2 linked regions of the Mus musculus genome follow. The protein of the gene in region 1 interacts with the protein of each later gene in a biochemical or structural test. Links are inferred from orthologs where the notes say so. Each region holds a gene or a part of one and is shown in the gene's direction. Other genes may lie near its edges.

Evidence for each region. The genes of interacting proteins can lie anywhere in the genome.
Region 2: the proteins of Gprasp1 (region 1) and Oprd1 form a complex in vitro, tested with the Homo sapiens proteins (2 studies listed by BioGRID and IntAct). The link is inferred for Mus musculus from reciprocal best matches to the Homo sapiens genes GPRASP1 and OPRD1.

The regions. Positions count from the first base shown.
Region 1 is NC_000086.7:135,737,977-135,745,491, forward strand, and holds the start of Gprasp1 (G-protein coupled receptor-associated sorting protein 1), read left to right. Parts: upstream 1-4,715; 5' UTR 4,716-5,002; intron 5,003-5,465; exon of another isoform or gene 5,466-5,546; intron 5,547-5,586; exon of another isoform or gene 5,587-5,638; intron 5,639-6,522; 5' UTR 6,523-6,599; intron 6,600-6,942; exon of another isoform or gene 6,943-7,200; coding exon of another isoform or gene 7,201-7,515. Other genes in the region: Armcx5 (armadillo repeat-containing X-linked protein 5), read left to right, coding at 7,201-7,515. UniProt on the Homo sapiens protein: Modulates lysosomal sorting and functional down-regulation of a variety of G-protein coupled receptors. Targets receptors for degradation in lysosomes via its interaction with BECN2.
Region 2 is NC_000070.6:132,138,350-132,149,579, reverse strand, and holds the start of Oprd1 (delta-type opioid receptor), read left to right. Parts: upstream 1-5,093; 5' UTR 5,094-5,194; coding exon 5,195-5,421; intron 5,422-11,230. UniProt on the Homo sapiens protein: G-protein coupled receptor that functions as a receptor for endogenous enkephalins and for a subset of other opioids.

The DNA.
Region 1 (7,515 bases):
CATACTATGAGCATGTTGGTAATGGCTACAATACCAAATGTAATGACTCCTTCTCCCACTGCATCTAATTAACCACCGTTAGTTCCTCAGACAGCTATGCTACTCCAAACGCCTCTGCCTATTTATAATGGAGTGGTCTGAAACCACAGCTGCTATGACTTCATAGGTGAAATAGCCATGCCACATACAGAAGACAGAAGATGGTGTTTCAAAGAGTTTATCTCAAAAACCAGCCTTATTTTCTTTCTGATAGCATTTTTGCAATGTTCCTTTGGAACCTTGAAAGGGAAATACAGATATTCCTTTAGAGATGAGTGGTCAACTGTCAGTTATTTTCAGCTCTTTGACCACTCTCCATGTTGTCACCCACTGCAAACAGAGCTGCCTCTTCATCTTTTCTTTTCTTTCCTTTTCTTTTCTTTTCTTTTCTTTTCTTTTCTTTTCTTTTCTTTTCTTTTCTTTTCTTTTCTTTCCTTTCCTTTCCTTTCCTTTCCCTTCCTTCCTTCCTTCCTTCCTTCCTTCCTTCCTTCCTTCCTCCCACCCTCCCTCCTTCTATCCCTTCTTTCTTTCTCTGTGTAACAAACAGCCTTAGCTGTCCTGGACTTGCTCTGTAGACCAGCCTGGCCTCAAACTCACAGAGATCCACCTGCCCCTGCCTCCCAAGATGCTGGGATTAAAGATGTTTGCTACCATTGCCAGGCTAAACAAGGATGAGAGAAGCACTAACATATGGGTATAAATGTAAATGTTTAGAGAAGAGGTGGTAGTTTATTCCTTTACTCCAAGCACTACAGAGGCAGGTCCAGCTCTGAGTTTGTAGCCAGGTCTGGTCTACATATCAACTTTCAGACCATCCAGATCTACACAGTGAGACACTTATCTAAAACCAAAACCAAAACCAAATCCACACATACCCATAAATCAGTGTGATTGTGTTTACTTAGCAAGACAACTTCCTCAGTAGAAATAGAAGCTTCCTCCCATGGGGCTGGTGAGATGGCTCAGTGGGTAAGAGCACCCGACTGCTCTTCCGAAGGTCCAGAGTTCAAATCCCAGCAACCACATGGTGGCTCACAATCTTCTGTAAGGAGTGTCTGAAGACAGCAACAGTGTATTTACATATAATAAATAAATCTTAAAAAAAAAAAGAGTGAGTTCCAGGTCAGCCAGGGCTATACAGAGAAACCCTGTCTCAAAAACCAAAAAAAAAAAAAAAAAAAAAAGAAGAAGAAGCTTCCTCCCTTGCACCCATGACTTTGTTAACTATGGAGTACTGACCAGTATTCCAGTACTTGGCATGGCTTCCCTCCTGGGAAATTAGTTTCAAATACAATTAAAGCAGTTCACTTTCCAAGTAGCTGTCATTCTGATATTGCAACACTAAGTAAATATTTTCTGACATGCCAACAAAGTAGTTCACAGAGTTCACAGCTTCCTAGGACCATTCATAGCTTTTCTTTCTCCAGTAGCCCAAATAGCATCCTATTTTGGCACTATGAAAGGTAACCAGGCAGTAGGGACCCTTCCAGCTAGCTGTCAGCTTGATTTCTTTGGAATCTGCGACCAAAATATCAAAGTTTGAAATGTGTTTAGCCATGGGAACCTATTTTGTTGTTGTTGTTGTTGTTGTTGTTGTTGATCTGGAAATAACCAAGAGCAATAGAAATTGGGTGTATTGGAAACCACTGAGGCTTCTTTGATCAACAACTCATAGTAAGGTACCTGATGTTTGGTACTAAGGTGTGTGTGTGTGTGTGTGTGTGTGTGTGTGTGTGTGTGTGTGTGTATTCATTATCCATTTATATACTCATGGACATATAATCTGGTCTGATTCCATTTCTCAGCTATTCTGAATACAGCCACAATGGACATGGATATGCAAGTATCTCTGTGGTGGATTATGGAGCTCTTTTGGAATGTTCTTGGGAATGGTATAAGTGAGTCACACAGTGCTTCTAATTTTTACTTTTTAAGAAACCCCCATGCTGATTTCCATAGTGGTTTCACCAGTTCTACCAGTTTACACTTCCACCAACAGTGGGTGGATAAGCTTTTTTTTCCCCCCATATCCCCATCAGGATTTGTCAAGAAAACAACTGGCACCAAACACTATTGAAGATGCAGCATATGTTTAAGGGTTTAAAGATACATTAAAGTTAAAAGGCTTACTAGGGGAAATGATAATGGCATTCTGTCGATGCGCCAGTAGCCAAAAAGACCCTGAAACTGGAAAATGGTTTGAGTGGATTTATCCAGAGTTGACCACTACTTCCTGTTTTCTCTTTCTTTCTTTCTTTCTTTCTTTCTTTCTTTCTTTCTTTCTTTCTTTCTTTCTTTCTTTCTATTAGATATTTTCTTCATTTACATTTCAAATGCTATCCCAAAAGTCCCCTATATCTTCCCCCCACCCTGCTCCCCTACCCACCCACTCCTGCTTCCTGGTACTATTCCTGGTACTGTACTGGGGCATATGATCTTCGCAAGACCAAGGGCCTCTCCTCCCATTGATGGCCGGCTAGGCCATCCTCTGCTACATATCCAACTAGAGACACAAGCTCTGGGGGGTACTGGTTAGTTCATATTGTTGTTCCACCTATAGGGTTGCAGACCCCTTTAGCTCCTTGGGTACTTTTTCTAGCTCATTCATTGGGGTCCCTGTGTTCCATCCAATAGCTGACTCTGAGCATCCACTTCTGTATTTGCTAGGCCCCATCATAGTCTCACAAGAGACAGCTATATCAGGGTCCTTTCAGCAAAATCTTTCTGGCATATGCAATAGTGTCTGGGTTTGGTGGTTGTTTATGGGATGGATCCCTGGGTGGGGCAGTCTCTGGATGGTCTTTCCTTCCGTCTCAGCTTTGGAACTTGTCTCTGTAACTCCTTCCATGGGTATTTTGTTCCCTATTCTAAGGAGGAATAAAGTATCCACATGTTGGTCTTCTTTCTTCTTGATTTTCTTGTGTTTTGCAAATTGTATCTTGGATAGTCTAAGTTTCTGGGCTAATATCCACTTATCAATGAGTGCATATCATGTGTGTTCTTTTGTGATTAGGTTACCTTACTCAGGATGATGCCCTCCAGTCCATCCATTTGCCTAAGTTAATACCAGCCTTATTTATAATAGCCAGAAGCTGGAAAGAACCCAGATGTCCCTCTTTCTTTCTTTCTTTCTTTCTTTCTTTCTTTCTTCCTTCCTTCCTTCCTTCCTTTCTTTCTTCCTTCCTTTTTCTCTTTTCTTTCCTTCTCTCCTCTTCTCTTCTCTTCTCTTCTCTCTCCCTCTCTCTATCTCTCTCTCTTTAACTGTTTTTAGGGCCCTGGGCTGGCCCATCTGGAGGGACCACTACCACCTATTTTTTACAATTATGTTTTATTGAGCCTCCCACCAAAACTATTTTCATCTTGTGTCCTGGGTCATGAAGATGGTCTGTCTGGACTGACCATCACCACCTAGTATTGTTCCTTATAGGCTGGTTATTCCTTCCAAAAGTTAACCTCCTGCCTCATGACATTATCAGGTTTTCTGATAATGTAGACTGGGACTGAGGGGAAACCATGCACTTTTATTAAGGCAATTTCAAAATTACAAACATCCCTGAAACAGGAAAAATGTCTCTCATCATAATCTACTAATGTCATAGCTCAGCTTAGAGTTGAGGCATACAGGACTGATGGGCTGGGACATTTCTAAGTGGTATACATGTTAGAAACACTTTCTGATTCTAAGGCTTATTTTAATTAAATTTATGTTCAAATAGATAATACAAACATGAGGCCCAGCATTCAAGATGCAAGGACTTATATAGTCAGAGATTTAGGGGGCAAGAAACGTGAGGGAACAAGCCCGGAGAAATCCACAGAGCAGGGACTGGTGTTGGTCCACGGGTACAAAGATACTTTGGTATTATGTCTTGTCAGTAAGAAGATTCTTGTTTTCCCAGTGCCTAGATTAAATCCAAGCCACTGCACCTTATGGTAGTGAGGTCATCCTGGAGTAGAACTCGTCTGCACAGTTCTTTTTCTCCCTGTTTTTCCTCTATCCTTACTTCATGTTATCTAAAACTATTTCAAAACAAGAAACATGCCGGACAATAAGAGCAAAAGATTTCAAGGGGTGGCAACAGGAAACATAAAAAGGGAGATTGAAAAACAAAACAAAACAAAACAAAAACGGTCTGGCAGCAGAGCAGTTTTCCATAGGTTCTGCCGCTGCAGCAAGAATTTTATGCAAACAAGCCCTTACAGGTGCATCACTGGCGGATTTTGCTTGTAGAAGGAACAGTTTAGAATTTGTTGGAATAAATGAGAATTTTTATTTGTAATTTCAGCGTTGAGAACCGCCCCACCCCCAGCATCGTTTCTACCTTGAGCCCCTCCCCTACCTAACCAGCTCACTTCAGTGGGCGGTGGGTTTAGTGAGGAACGTGTAAAAACACTAGAATTCTTTGCTATCCTTCCGCCCGGTAAGGCGGCCGCTTTTTCTTCTGACGCCACAGCGTGAAAACCGCATGCATTTCGAAATGGAAAGACATGTCTAAGAAGGAAGCTAAAACCGACATTTGGTAATCGCCTGCTTGCGGGTGCTTGGCGCGGTTTTCCCTAGTTCGGGATCAGAACCTAAGTGTCGCAGTGTGCGCCACAGTAGTATCACTCCGCTTCCCTAAGCCGGAACTCCTTAAATAACTCTAGCTCCTCCCTCTGCGGGCCTCCGTAATGACGTAGCCGCGCCTAGTGCGTCCCGGCGGATGTAGGTAGCTATGTAGTCGCTTCGTGAGGGACCGGAGAGAGGAGTGGGTACCGAAAGGTGACAGTAATTTGCTAGTCATGGCCCTTCATCTTGTCCTACATCCCAAGCTCCCGGCAAGCCCCTAAATTACAGTCGCCGCCATTGCCTCTGCTCCCTGCGGCGGACTGCCGACGGCGTTTGCCTGCCTCCTTTCTGTGTGGGAAGGCGCCGCCGGAGAGAACGCACCTAAGAAAACTGCCTTGGATTCAAGCAGAACAGGTCAGTAAGAAGGAGGGCATTGCTTGGGGTTGTGGTTGCGGGTTCCATGATTGGTGCGGGATTGGTGACCTGATTTTAGGGGGCGAGTGTTGGGAAGACAGACTAGGGAGGATGAGAAAAAGCTATCTACGTTTCCAGAAACTCGCTTCATCACGTTTGGGAAGGGAGATGGATGCAATGGCATCATCTACTGGGGAGATGGCGTACTTGTCAGAGAAAGGACTACCACCACTGATGAACGCAGTTGTCTGAGGAGCCTTGAGAATCAGGAAGGAGATACACAAAGGGGTTATAGATGTGGGAACATTAAATCTTGTGTTGGGTGTATTCGAAGATTGCACATTCTTATCTGACCATTAATTAACCATATCTTACTCAGTGCGATTTCATTTGATTTGGGGCTATCACACATTCATTTGTGTGGATAGATTTTGTGCCAAGTTTGCATTTCTCCACGTTTCAGGGCGGCAGATCAAAAGGGGAGGGGAGAAGATAAACAAAACTGACCTGATTTCTGTACTGTGGGAGAAAGCTGCAAGACTAGGTAGGGTTCTAGAATAATTTCTACATCTCCTCTTTTCCAGCCTTCCAGAAATGCCCTCCGCGTTACCCCAACTATGTTGCAGAATGTGATAGGTTTGTGTGGGTGGGTGGGGGATAATCATAAGAATGTGTAAGAAAATTGAAAATGATACTTTTCATTATTTCCCCAGCTTCCTGTTATTGTCAGGCGTTTCATCCCTACTGCTACCAGTACGACCAACTGTGCAGAGATGATTTAGTTGTCCCTTCATGGAAATGATCAGGCTTTAAGAATATAGCAGAGGAACGTGGAGATTTGGGGGTGTCATGGGGGGATGACAAAAAGAAAGGGAATCAGAGAATTCTTTACCAAACAAGTATCTGTATCCAGCAAGCATTTATTCCGTAATTACTGTTTCCTAAATTATACTCAGTAGTGCTGTTCTCATGTTTGTGGATTTCCATTGATAGACACATCCGGAGGGTTGTATAACTTGGCTGTTGTGAATGTTTGTAAAATAACTGAATGTGAAGCTAGGAGATAATGAGAAGGCAATTGTCCAGATTCGAGGATTAGTGTGAAGACAGACAAGGATCACTGAGACTAGAATGTCACACCCTTCTGTTTTGTCAGTTTCTCGATGACCTCTAGCTGGTCTGTGGATTCACTTAGGAGTCTTGGTCTAACTCTAGAGATAGATGCAGGATGGGAACATCTTCCTTTAATCCCCTCTTTCCTGTCCTGCTCTAACACTTCATTATCAACCGATTTTTCAACTAAGGGATTACCGAAACAGTCACTCAAGAAGACAATGGAGGGCCCCAAGGGAGGAGGAGGAAGAGGAGGAGGAACAGCTTTGAAGCTGGTTAATGGAAGGAGAGGAAGACCAGGAAGGGAAAAGCTAGACAAGCTTCTCTGAGAAGGCAAGAATAAGGGCCAGGAACCAAGGTCTGTATCCCAAGAGCTGAGTTTCTCTGTCCTCTTTATCTATCTATAGGTTTGCCAGATCTGCTGCAGGGCTTGTCGCCAGTGGAAACAGAGAAAGGAGGAAACAATCCCTTGGCAAGAGCGCAGGTTAGTATGAACGTGGGGACTCCTCGAGTAAGACCTATAGTATGGAACAGTAAAGATTTGGTTGGCTCCAGCCTAGGTCAGCAGATAGCCTCGGAATTTTGCAGCCTCTCGTGTCCATCCAGCTTTCCTATTCTTTCTGCCCTTATTGGTGTCTGCAAAGACAAATTGGTAGCACATGAAGGTATAGACAGTGGGTGAACTGAAAGGAGGAGTTGGCTCCTTGTCTCCTTCTTCCCCATAGAGCACTGAATTTCCATACTTAACTATGTCTCTGTGCTTATCAGCATGAGAAGAAAGCAAATTGGAAGAGACTTAAAGCCCCATTTCCTTCCTCCACCCCTAGGTCCAACTTCAGTGACAGATCTGATGGCCTTGGAGTGGCTGAAGACCACCACCCTCCACAGGCCTGCGCCCCAGCACAGCTATCCTTTATCTTGAGTGAGCTTCCTCAACATGCTGTCTATATGATTGGCAGAAACTGTAGTTGGAAAGGGGCTGAATGACTACTGGACTTTATATGAAAACACCTACTTGGGGCTGACTTTCGGGCAAGGCTGAGACAGGGGCATATTTATATTAAGCTTTGCCTTTCTCTCGAACCATGATTGGCTCTAAAACTAAAAGGAAAGCTAGAGAAGAGTCTGGGGCTTCCTCAAAACCTGGAACCAATAGCCCTGCCAATGCTAAAGGAAAAGCCAAGAATCAGACCACTAAAGCCGTTAAGGCAGAACCAAAAGAAGAATGGGGGAACCAGGCTGAGGCTAGGGATGAAGCAGTGGCCAGGACACAGCCAGCCATTTCCACTGAGCCCAAGACTGTGACCTGGAAAGTAAAAAAAAAGAAAGATAAGACTAATGCTAGAGTCATGGCTCAGGCTAAGACAGAACTCCCGGCAGGGCCTGCTTTAGTGCCTCAC
Region 2 (11,230 bases), on another chromosome or scaffold:
GGGAACGGGGAGAGTGAATGAAAAGGAGAATGAGCTTGTGGATCTTCTGGGTGTGTTCTTTTAAAACGACATGAGAAGTGTTTTTTAAAAAAAATGTTTCTTTTTCAGGCATGTGTGTATATGTGTGAATGTATGTGTGCTCTCTCAGGTGCACACACACACACACACACACACACACACACAACACGCTCACCAGGACACACTCACACAGGGGAGTGCAGGTGCTGGAGGATGACAGAGGTGTCTGATCCCCACTGGGCTGGAGTTACAGGCAGTTGTGAACTTTCCTACAAGGATGCTAGGAACCAAATTTGGGTCTTTTGCAAGAACAATCCTGGCTTTTGACTGCTGAGCCATCTCTCCAGCCGCTGGCTCTGTTCTTTCTGGGAAAGAGTAAATGTCTTGATAAATGACTCATGTGGAGGGTCGGGAGGGATTTTCCTTGCCAGCCTACCCTCAGAACCCAGGTCATTACCCAAGAGCACAGAACTGAGAAGCACCAATAATGGTCTTATTCCAATCCACCTGGGGAATCTTCATTATTTCAAATGACATGCTCCAAGCACCCAGTGTGACCAGACCTCTCCTGGCTTCAAGGATCAGCCAGACCTGGTCTCTTTAAGATGGTGAGAAGATCATATAAGAATAGCTACTGTGCTTTCTGATCCGCCATCGTGGGTGGAGCCGCCGCCACGATGCAGATCTTTGTGAAGACCCTTACGGGGAAAACCATCACACTCGAGGTTGAACCCTCGGACACTATAGAAAATGTAAAGGCCAAGACCCAGGATAAGGAAGGACTTCCTCCTGATCAGCAGAGGCTGATCTTTGCTGGTAAGCAGCTGGAAGATGGCCGGACTTTGTCTGACTACAACATTCAAAGGGAGTCCACCCTTCATCTTGTGTTGAGCCTTCTTGGTGGTGCTAAGAAAAGAAAGAAGAAGTCTTACACCACTCCCAAGAAGAATAAGCATAAGAGGAAGAAGGTTAAGTTGGCTGTGCTGAAATACTATAAGGTGGATGAAAATGGCAAAATTAGCCGACTTCGTTGAGAGTGTCCTTCTGATGAATGTGGTGCTGGAGTTTTTACGGGAAGCCACTTTGACAGGCATTACTGTGGCAAGTGTTGTCTGACTTACTGCTTCAACAAACCAGAAGACAAGTAGTTGTGTATGCGTTAATAAAAAGAAGAAACTCAAAAAAAATAGCTACTGTATGGGATAATTTAGTGCCAACCCTCAATTTTCTTATCTGTAAAGTGGGACAATAAAAAGAGTATAATGTTAAATGGTGATCCATGGATAAATTACTCACCACAGTGCTTGGAGCTGATTTACAGTTCAAAGGCTTAGTTCATTATTGTCATGGTGGAAAACATGGTGGCATGCAGACAGACATGATCATGGGGAGTTCAGAGTTCTACATCTGGATCTGCAGACAGTAGGATGAGAGAGCCACTCTGCCTCTGCCTCTGCCTCCTCCTCCTCCTCCTCTTCCTCCTCCTCCTCCTCCTCCTCCTCCTCCTCCTCTTCTTCTTCTTCTTCTTCTTCTTCTTCTTCTTCTTCTTCTTCTTCTTCTTCTTCTTCTTCTTCTTCTTCTTCTTCTCCTTCTTAAGATTTATATTTATTTTTTGTATGTAAGTACACTGCTGCTGTCTTCAGACACACCAGAAAAGGGCATTAGATCCCATTACAGATAGCTGTGAGCCACCATGTGGTTGCTGGGAATTGAACTCAGGATCTCGGGAAGAGCAGTCTGTGCTCTTAACCACTGAGCCATCTCTCTATCCCCCTGACTTGGGCTACTAAAACCTCAGAGCCCACCCCTAGTGATACACTTCTTCCAACAAGGCCATGCCTCCTAATCCTTCCAAGTAGTGCCACTCCCTCATGACTGAGCATTCAAACATTTGAGCCTATGAGGGCCATTCTTATCCAACCACCACATGTAGTATAGCTGTTTCTTCCTTCAAATATCCTGTTGACAGCCAGGCATGGTGGCTCCTGTCTGTAATTCCAGCACTCCAGAGCGAAGTATAGTCAAGGGATCAGCACAGGTTTGAGGCTAACCTAGTCTACATAGTGAGTCCCAGGGTTGTACAGTATGATCTTATTTAAAAAGGAAAAAGGAGGGAGGAGCTGGAGAGATGGCTCAGCGGTTAAGAGCACTGACTGCTCTTCCAGAGGTCCTGAGTTCAATTCCCAGCAACCACATGGTGGCTCACAACCATCTGTAATGGAATCTGATGCCCTCTCCTGGTGTGTCTGAAAACAGCTACAGTGTACCAACATACATGAAATAAATAAATATTTTTTAAAAAAGGAAAGAAAAACAAAAAACACCCCCCCCCAAAAAAACCCGACCCTTGGAGGTGTTGAGTGGGAAGGCTCATGAACTCACAAGAAATCAAACATTAGGACGCTCAGCAAACTCACTACAGGCTCTGAGCTTCTTGGTTCAGGTCACAGGAATAGCAGAAAGTTGCTGGGGAGAGGAGACTTTTCAGTGTTGGAGATCCCTGCAAGTTCTGCCTGGGATTTCCCCCTAAACTGTCATCCATGAGTTGGTGGGGCTTTTTGGTGATGAAACCACCTTAGACTTTCACACCCCAGTAGGTAACCCTGCCCCTGTAAGTAAAGCAATAACCAAATCAGACTAGGATAGATTTTATTCTTCGATCCTTGCCCTCTCTATCTGACCAGACAAAGACTTCCCAGGCATGCAACAGCTTGATAGAGAGAACGTTCTGGAACAGCTGGGGACCTTAAAGAAAAGGATGGCTCAGGATCTTGGCTGGAGAATGAGTATAGGAAGAGAGAGCCAGCCATACAACCTCCCTTCATCTGCTATTCTAACAGCACAACTGGTCCATAAGGTGGCCTTGGTTTTTAATTACGTTTATTATTATTATTATTATTATTATTATTATTATTATTATTATTATTATTATTATAAGACAAGGTCTCACTATGCAGGCCTGGCTGGATTGGAACTGGTTATGTAGACTGGGCTGGCTTTGAACTCACAGAGCTCCACTTGTCTCTGTCTCCCGAGTGCTAGGGTTAAAGGTTTATGCCGCCATGCCCCGCTGTTGTTAAATTTTTATTTTATGTGTGTTTACCTGCTTGAATGTCTTTGTACTGTGTGTATGCAGTGTTCATGGAGGCCAGAAGAGGGCATCAGAGCCCCTAGAACCAGAGCACAGACGGTTGTGAATCACCCACCATATGAGTGCTGGGAGCTGAACTCCCGGCCTTTGCAAGAGCACCAAGTACTCTTAGCCACTGAGCCATCTCTCCAGCCCTACTTAAGTTGCTTGTCTTAGTTAGGGATTCTATTGCTGTGATTAGAAAAACAGGATCAAAAGCAACTAGGGAGGAAAGAGTTTCTTTGGCTTACACTTCCACATCACAGCCTGTCCTCTAAGGAACTCCAGGAAGAACTGCAGCAGAAGCCATGGAGGAACACTGCTCACAGGTCTGCTCAACTTGCTTTTTTTACACAACCCAGGATCATCTGCCTAGGGGTGGAACCGCCCATCAATCATCCATCAAGAAAATGGCGCACAGACTTGCCTATCGGTACATTTTTTTTTTTAAAGATTTACTTATTTATTATATGTAAGTACACTGTAGCTGTCTTCAGACACTCCAGAAGAGGGCGTCGGATCTTGTTACAGATGGTTGTGAGCCACCATGTGGTTGCTGGGATTTGAACTCTGGACCTTCAGAAGAGCAGTCGGGTGCTCTTACCCACTGAGCCATCTCACCAGCCCCTATCGGTACATCTTAAGGGGCATTTTCTCAGTTAAGATTCCCTCTTCCCAGGTATGCTTAGTCGAGGAGGAGGGAAACAAACCAATCCAACACAAACACCACGGAGCTCCCTGCTGTGACCCTGGCTGTCTTCAGTCTTTTTGACTTGTAGGACCTTTATATATGTTTTTCTTTTTTCTAGAAGGCTCTTCCTATTTCTTCCCTAAATTAGTCTCCCCCACCTCTAAATCCACACAACACCTTAAGTGTCATTTCTTTTAGGAATATTCTCCTGACCCTACCCTGCCCCGACATTCCTTGAATAGGACTTCATTGTGTTTTTTTAGAATCGATGCATCTCTTCCGGTCTGAGCTGTAAGCTCTTGGGAGCCGGGCCTTTGATTATGCACACCGATGTACCTGGCTCTTCTGTTAGGCGCCCTCAGAGTGAATGTGGAGCTAGTGAACTGGGCGCAGGAAAGTGTGGCTGATAACGGATGTTTGTGGTTTTATTTATCGCTCAAGCAGCCTGCTAGCTCAGAGCAATGAGCCAGACAGGAAAGTTGTGTCTCTAATAACATACACACATCTGTCCAGATAGGTGTGACCTTTTTCAGCTTGATGTAGTGAGATGGTTAGTGACCTTGATTGCGGCTTATGTCTGCCATGTCCGGTGCCAAGCTGTACAGACCCAGGTGGGCTTATTTCCAGTGTCTCCCCTTGAGGTTGTAGCTGATCATATTACTAGTTTTCATCCGGAGCCTTTGGGGGAACTGGACGGTTTTGTTTTTGTTTCTTGGTCAGGAATCACTTGGCAGTTCTAGAAGACACGGCAAGGAGCAGAGCGCACACAGTACACGGGGGTGGTGGTGGTGGTGGTGGTGGTGGTGGTGGTGGTGGTGGAAATCTGAGTTCTTTACTCCGTTGTCTTCATCTCCCCAAAACCCTCTGAAGGCGGCAGGAGATTTTCTTCATCGTGCAGTCACAGAGAATGAACTTGAGAGTGCTTAAGCGGCTCGCTCAAGGTTACTCCCATCGTCCGTGAAGAGGCGGGAGGCGGGATTCGCATCCAGGTTCTTCTGACTCCGAAGTGGCACGGGGGTGGGGCGGGAGGCTGGGCCGGGCTGGGGGCACCTGGAGTCAGCGGAGCCCAGGCAGGGAGCGCGCGCGAGGCCTCTCTGGCCCAGCTCGGAGCCCGGTGGTGCAGCGCCCGCCCCCGATCGCGGGCGCAGACTGGCGGCCGCCTCCGGACCACGTGGTGCGCGCGGCGGCTCGGGGCTCCCCGGGCTTGGGCGAGCACTGCGGGCGGTCGACCGGGCGGAGGAGGCGGGAGCGAGCGCTGCAGCCTGCGGCGTCGGGGCCGTGGCCTCCGTTTTCCGCGCGCCACTCGCTGGGTCCCTGCGCCCAGGGCGCACGGTGGAGACGGACACGGCGGCGCCATGGAGCTGGTGCCCTCTGCCCGTGCGGAGCTGCAGTCCTCGCCCCTCGTCAACCTCTCGGACGCCTTTCCCAGCGCCTTCCCCAGCGCGGGCGCCAATGCGTCGGGGTCGCCGGGAGCCCGTAGTGCCTCGTCCCTCGCCCTAGCCATCGCCATCACCGCGCTCTACTCGGCTGTGTGCGCAGTGGGGCTTCTGGGCAACGTGCTCGTCATGTTTGGCATCGTCCGGTGAGTCAGCCGAGGGCGTCGCGGGGTTTGGTCCCAGGGTCAGAGTGGACTCTACTCTTTGTAGACCAGGATACCCAACCCTGACTCCCCGGGTTCCTGAATGTCCTGCACAGAGGCCAGGTCCTCTGAGATTATGAGGACAAGGCGTGTGTGTGTGTGTGTGTGTGTGTGTGTGTGTGTGCTTGCACTAGCCTAACTACATAACACTTAATCATCCTTGACATCTCTTTGCTTCTGCATCATGGAGGTGGGACAGTTTGGCAACACTTTGTGTGTCTGCCGCGCACGCAGTTTGTGATTGGGCAGTTTGACGGTAGCGTGTGTGTTCGATCCTCTGAAACCTTGCAAGGGTGAGCTGAGGTGCTCTACAAAATACCTTAGGTCTTTGGAGCATACAACAGGGACAGACTGTCTGCTCCGGGCTGTGGGGACACGCCCCAAGTCACATTTAGTAGTCGGTCTTCTGTGGTTGCTGTGTGTGTGCTTGTCCCAAGCCATCAGTTTGTAATTCTGTATGAGACTGAGAGTGTATTTGCATTGTTTCTTGTCAAACCTCTAGGTCATAGGTGATGGAGGCACCCGGGATGACTTTGAACACCAGTCTTTGTGCTGCGTGTTCTCTGATGGAGAGCCCCGTAGTTCCTGTGAACTGGCCATGGGGTTCTCTCTTCCCTTCCCCAGTGGCCATGTGGTCAGGAACTCGGGATATGATTCAGGGCAGATTTATCCTCCTTGAGGCCTGGGCTACAGAATGAACTTAAGGCCAGCTAGAGAAGAGAGAGAGGGAGGGAGGGAGGGAGGGAGGGAGGGAGAGAGAGAGAGAGAGAGAGAGAGAGAGAGAGAGAGAGAGAGAGAGATTATTAGTAAGGGCTTTAGGGGCCACAGACTGTACGCTTAATTGATAGCTTCTGCAGCATGTGTGAATCCTTACATTAGTTTGTAGTGTTCAGTCCCCAGCACACTACACACTGGACATGGTGGTCCCACGGCTGTAATCCCAGTCCTGGGGGGTGTTGAAGCAGAAGGCTCAGAAGTTCAAAGTCATGCTTTGGTTACATAGAGAATTTGAGGCCAGACTAGGATAATGGGCTTGGGGTATAGCTAAATGGCAGGGTACTTGCCTCCAGACAGGCAAGGCTGAGAACTGCCTAAATTAACAAAGCAAAATGTCTCCAACCCATCTGTACCTGTGGGCGCACTGATGTAAGTGAAGCACCCCCTGCAGACCCCAGACCGAGGTAAGGGCTCATAGCAGGCTCCACAATATGCAATAAGCAAACGAGAGGTTTTGCTTTCCTCTCTGTTTGCTGCCAAGGCGCCAGGGGCTGCTGAGATGAGTTTTGAGATTTGGGAGCACTAAGACCCTGTCTTGTTTAGACAGCATGTGTCTCTTGCCTCTGTCCCCTCTCTTGCTCAGATTAGGGGTTCAGATCCTGGACTCTCATCCAGAAGACATTCCATAAAGATGATGGAGTGCAGAGGTAAAGGTCATGGCTGTGGGCCAGGTGGTACCCTGTTTCTATCCCAACTTCAACATGTTGTAACAATGTGGCTTTGGCCAAACAGCTCACCTTCCCCAAGCCTCATTTATCTCATTTGAAAATATACGGTGATTTAGAATAGCCTGTTGGGGCCAGGCAGTGGTGGTGCACGCCTTTAATCCCAGCACTCGGGAGGCAAAGGCAAGCAGATCTCTGTGAGTAGTTCAAGACCAGCCTGGTCTATAGAGTGAGTTCCAGGACAACCAAGGCTACACAGAGAAACCAAACTTCCCCAAGCCCCATTACCCACCTCCCCCCAAAAGCCCCACAATAGTCTGTTGGGAAGATTAAACGGAGGCATGCAGGTAATGGCCTAATAGCAGGCACTGGGAAGCGTCCTAGGCCTTTGGTGTGTGTTGGGGGTCCGGATTAACCAGTACAGCTGCAGCTGCTGCAGGTGTGCGGCGTGGGTAGCTGGGGCCCTGTTGTCTGTAGTTTCCACAGTGGGCCCTGTCTCTGGTCCTGCAAGGGCACACGTTTTGTCAGTCAACAAATATAACAATACTAATTGCTGTTAATCATCGACACACCTGTCCAGCCTCAGGTTTCTTTCTCTTTTTTTTTTTGGCACAGCCTTGACTGTGTTCACGATGTAGAACCAGGCTGGCCTTGAAGTCACCTGATAGAGATCCACATGCCTCGCCCCCTACTGAAATTAAAGGTGTGTTCCACCACACTGGGCATGAGAGCCCTTAACGCCCAGACTCTGAGCACAAGCCTCCCGTGGCCTCTGGCCCCTAACAGCCATGCTCTAGGGACCCAAGGTTAGTTGTGACTCTAGGATCAAATGCAACTTCCTAGGGCTGTGGAATCCAGAGCAGGGACTTGATTTAGCCAGAGGAGGTGATACCTGGACTGTGAGGTGTCTGAGATGCTGCAGTTGGCTGTATGGAGAGGCAGGGCGGGGTGGGGCATCTCAGGCAGCTAGAACGGCTCAGACTGTAGAGGTCTAGAAGGGAGCAGAGGGTTTCACCTGAGGCCTCGGTGGCCATGAAGGCAGAGAGGCTACAGGATAAAGACACGAAAACCATAAAAGTGGTGTCCTTTTCCCTGGAGTGGTCGGGATCATCAGAGGCGGAAGGGTTGTCCGGATTGCCGGGAAGCAGAGGCGACCGCTGTGTTCTGAGCTTCAGTTGTGCCTGGAGCCAGTCTGAGTCTACCAACTTAGTCTCTGCTGTTCAGAAATCCCGAGAAGTTGCAGAGAGATGTAGGAGGAGTGCCACAGAGCATAGGGACAGGGCGATCAGGGGGAAAGGAATGAGACTCTAAGGGGAAGGCTTGGAGACAGGCCAGGGTGGTCGGGACAGACCATGAGCTGGGGCTCTGGCTGCTAGTCTGGATGTGAAATTGGAGTCTGGACAGGTTCGTGGCCCCAAGCTCGGGCCAGCCATGCTGGGAAGTCAAGGCGCTTTGAATGTCAGGAGCATCAGGAGAGCCATCCATGAAGAATGATGGTCAAGAGGATGGGTCTGGTGAAGGGGTGGAGCGAGTGTTGAGGAATTAGAGGCTAGTGCCGGGCGATGGGAGGAGCCCTGGACAGGTAACCAAACCCCCTGCCTCCAGCTTCCTTAACCTCTCTCTGAAACTCAAGCCTGCTAGCCCTAACAGGAAGGCAGAAACTGGCCCAATGACTTTGGATGAAGCAAAACGGGAGGAGTGGAGAGTGAGCTGAGGCCAGGGCCTGCCGGTCTTGCCCAGAATCTGCCATTTCCCAGGTCTTAGGATCATTCCCCGGGGAGCATGTGAGTCACAGACACAGCGGTGGGAAGAGTCGCCAAGGACACAGAGTCTCTCCTGAGCTTCTTCTGGAGTCTAGGGATTCTCCAACCTGCACTTGAGTCCCACAGTGGGCTCTTCTGTTCTCATTCATAGACTAGAACATGGGCTCAGAGGCAGCAAGTGCCTCTCACCACAAAGGCGTTGCAAGCTCAGCTTTTGTTCTGTGACAGGGTCTCCTGTAGCCAAGGCTGGTCCCAACTTGCCATATTGTTGAGGATGAATGTTAACGTCCCCTCTTCCTGTCTCATCTACTGTTCAAATAATAGGGTTACAGACACACACCACCATGCCCATCTTAGACCTGGTCTTTCTGAGCCCCCAAACCTTAACCACTCGGCCTGTGCTAGGCTTGAGATGCACAGAGAGCAGGCTAGGGCTAGGTAAATCTCAAGGCCTCGGTATTTGATATCAGCAGCTGCAAACCTGGACATTAGAGCCACACAGGGGCCATAACACTGTGTCCATCACACAGTGACCATCATAGTGACTATTACACAATGAGCATCAAACAGGGGCCATCATCAGACGGTGACATTTTTCTTTTCTCTTTCTTTCTTTCTTTCTTTCTTTCTTTCTTTCTTTCTTTCTTTCTTTCTTCCTTCCTTCCTTCCTTCCTTCCTTCCTTTCTTTCTTTCTTTTTTTTTTTTTGAGACAGGGTTTCTCTGTATAGCCCTGGCTGTCCTGGAACTTACTGTGTCGACCAGGCTGGCCTCGAACTCAGAAATCTGCCTGCCTCTGCCTCCCAAGTGCTGGGATTAAAGGCATGCGCCACCAACACCTGGCTAGTGACATTTTTCTAAGTGAGCTTAAGCAATACATATATTATCTCTCTATGCCTCAGTGTTCTGCTCTGTGGAATGGGAGGGTGGTAGACCCTTACAGGGTGAGAGTAAGGAAGTCATGAGGTGCCAACCAGCTCCAGGCGTTCAGTAGCTGTTCGGAGGCAGTCTGTGTAAAGCTGGCCCTGTCGGGGAGGGGTAAGGCTCCCCTCTCATTCAGTCACCATTTACTAAGCCGCGGAGGAGCTCTGGCTGGGTGCTACAGGGGAACTTTATCAGGTCGATATCAGAAGCTTTCTTTTATATTAAAGATAGCTAGATAGTTACTTCAGGACCAAAGGAGACCATTCAGTAGAGGTTGCTATTACCCATAATCTTACTGCAGAGAAAAAGCTTAGTCATTTGTGTATATTTCTTTCTCATCTTTGCTTCTAGATGCACACACACACACACACACACACACACACACACACACACTTGTTTTTATGAAATTAAGATTGCTTAGGGAAATCAGGATCCAGTCATATGGATTTTGTAAGATTGTGTAAATGATAATAGTGAGATTTTTTTCTCAGTAGCCCACACTGGGTTTCAGTTTCTGATCATCCTGCCTTCTAAGAGATACAAAATTGAAACCTTGTTTCCAAATAACAAAACCAAAGGGATAAGGGAAACTTTTTCGGGTTTTTTTTTGTTTTGTTTTGTTTTGTTTTGTTTTTTTTTTTTTTTTTTGGTTTGGTTGGTTTGTTTGTTTTTTAAAATTTTTTAAAGATTTATTTATTTATTATATGTAAGTACATTGTAGCTGTCTTCAGACACTCCAGAAGAGGGAGTCAGATCTCCTTACGGGTGGTTGTGAGCCACCATGTGGTTGCTGGGATTTGAACTCTGGACCTTCGGAAGAGCAGTCGGGTGCTCTTACCCACTGAGCCATCTCACCAGCCCGTTTGGTTTGTTTTTGTTTTTGTTTTTCGAGACAGGGTTTCTCTGTATAGTCCTGGCTGTCCTGGAACTCACTTTGTAGATCAGGCTGGCCTCAAACTCAGAAATCTGCCTGCTTCTGCCAAGGAAACCATTTTTTTTTTTTTAAAGCTGGTTTAGGTTAGAGAGACGGCTCAGGTGTAGGCAGCACTTCCTGCTCTTCCAGAGGACCCAGGTTCAAACCTCAGCACAGGTATGGCAGTTTAGTCTTCTGTAACTCCAGGCTGACACCCTCTTCTGGCTTCTGAGGGTACTGTATGAGCATGGTGCGTAGACAAACTAGCTGGCAAAGCACTCATACACATAAGATAAAAATAAATGTTTTTAAAAGCTCATGGATTTTGATAGCTATGTGAGTGTATCCTTCTATTGAGCAGCTTGCATTTTAAAAGCATTTGCTATTTTTACTTTTTAGAGATCTATTAATTTTATTTTATGAGTATAAGTATTTTGCTTTCATATGTGTATGTGTATGTACCATGTGCATGCCTGATGCCCAAGTGAGTCAGAAGAAGGCAACAAATCTCTTGGAACTGGAACTAATGGATGGTTGTGAACTTTCATGCAGATGCTGGGAATCGAACCTGGGTCCTCGGCAACACCAACAAGTGTTCCTAACCTCCAAGTCATCCCCCCCCCCCCCCCCCCCCCGAGACAGGGTTTCTCTGTGTAGCCCTGGATGGCCTGGAACTCCCTCTGTAGACCAGGCTGACCTTGAACTCAGAAATC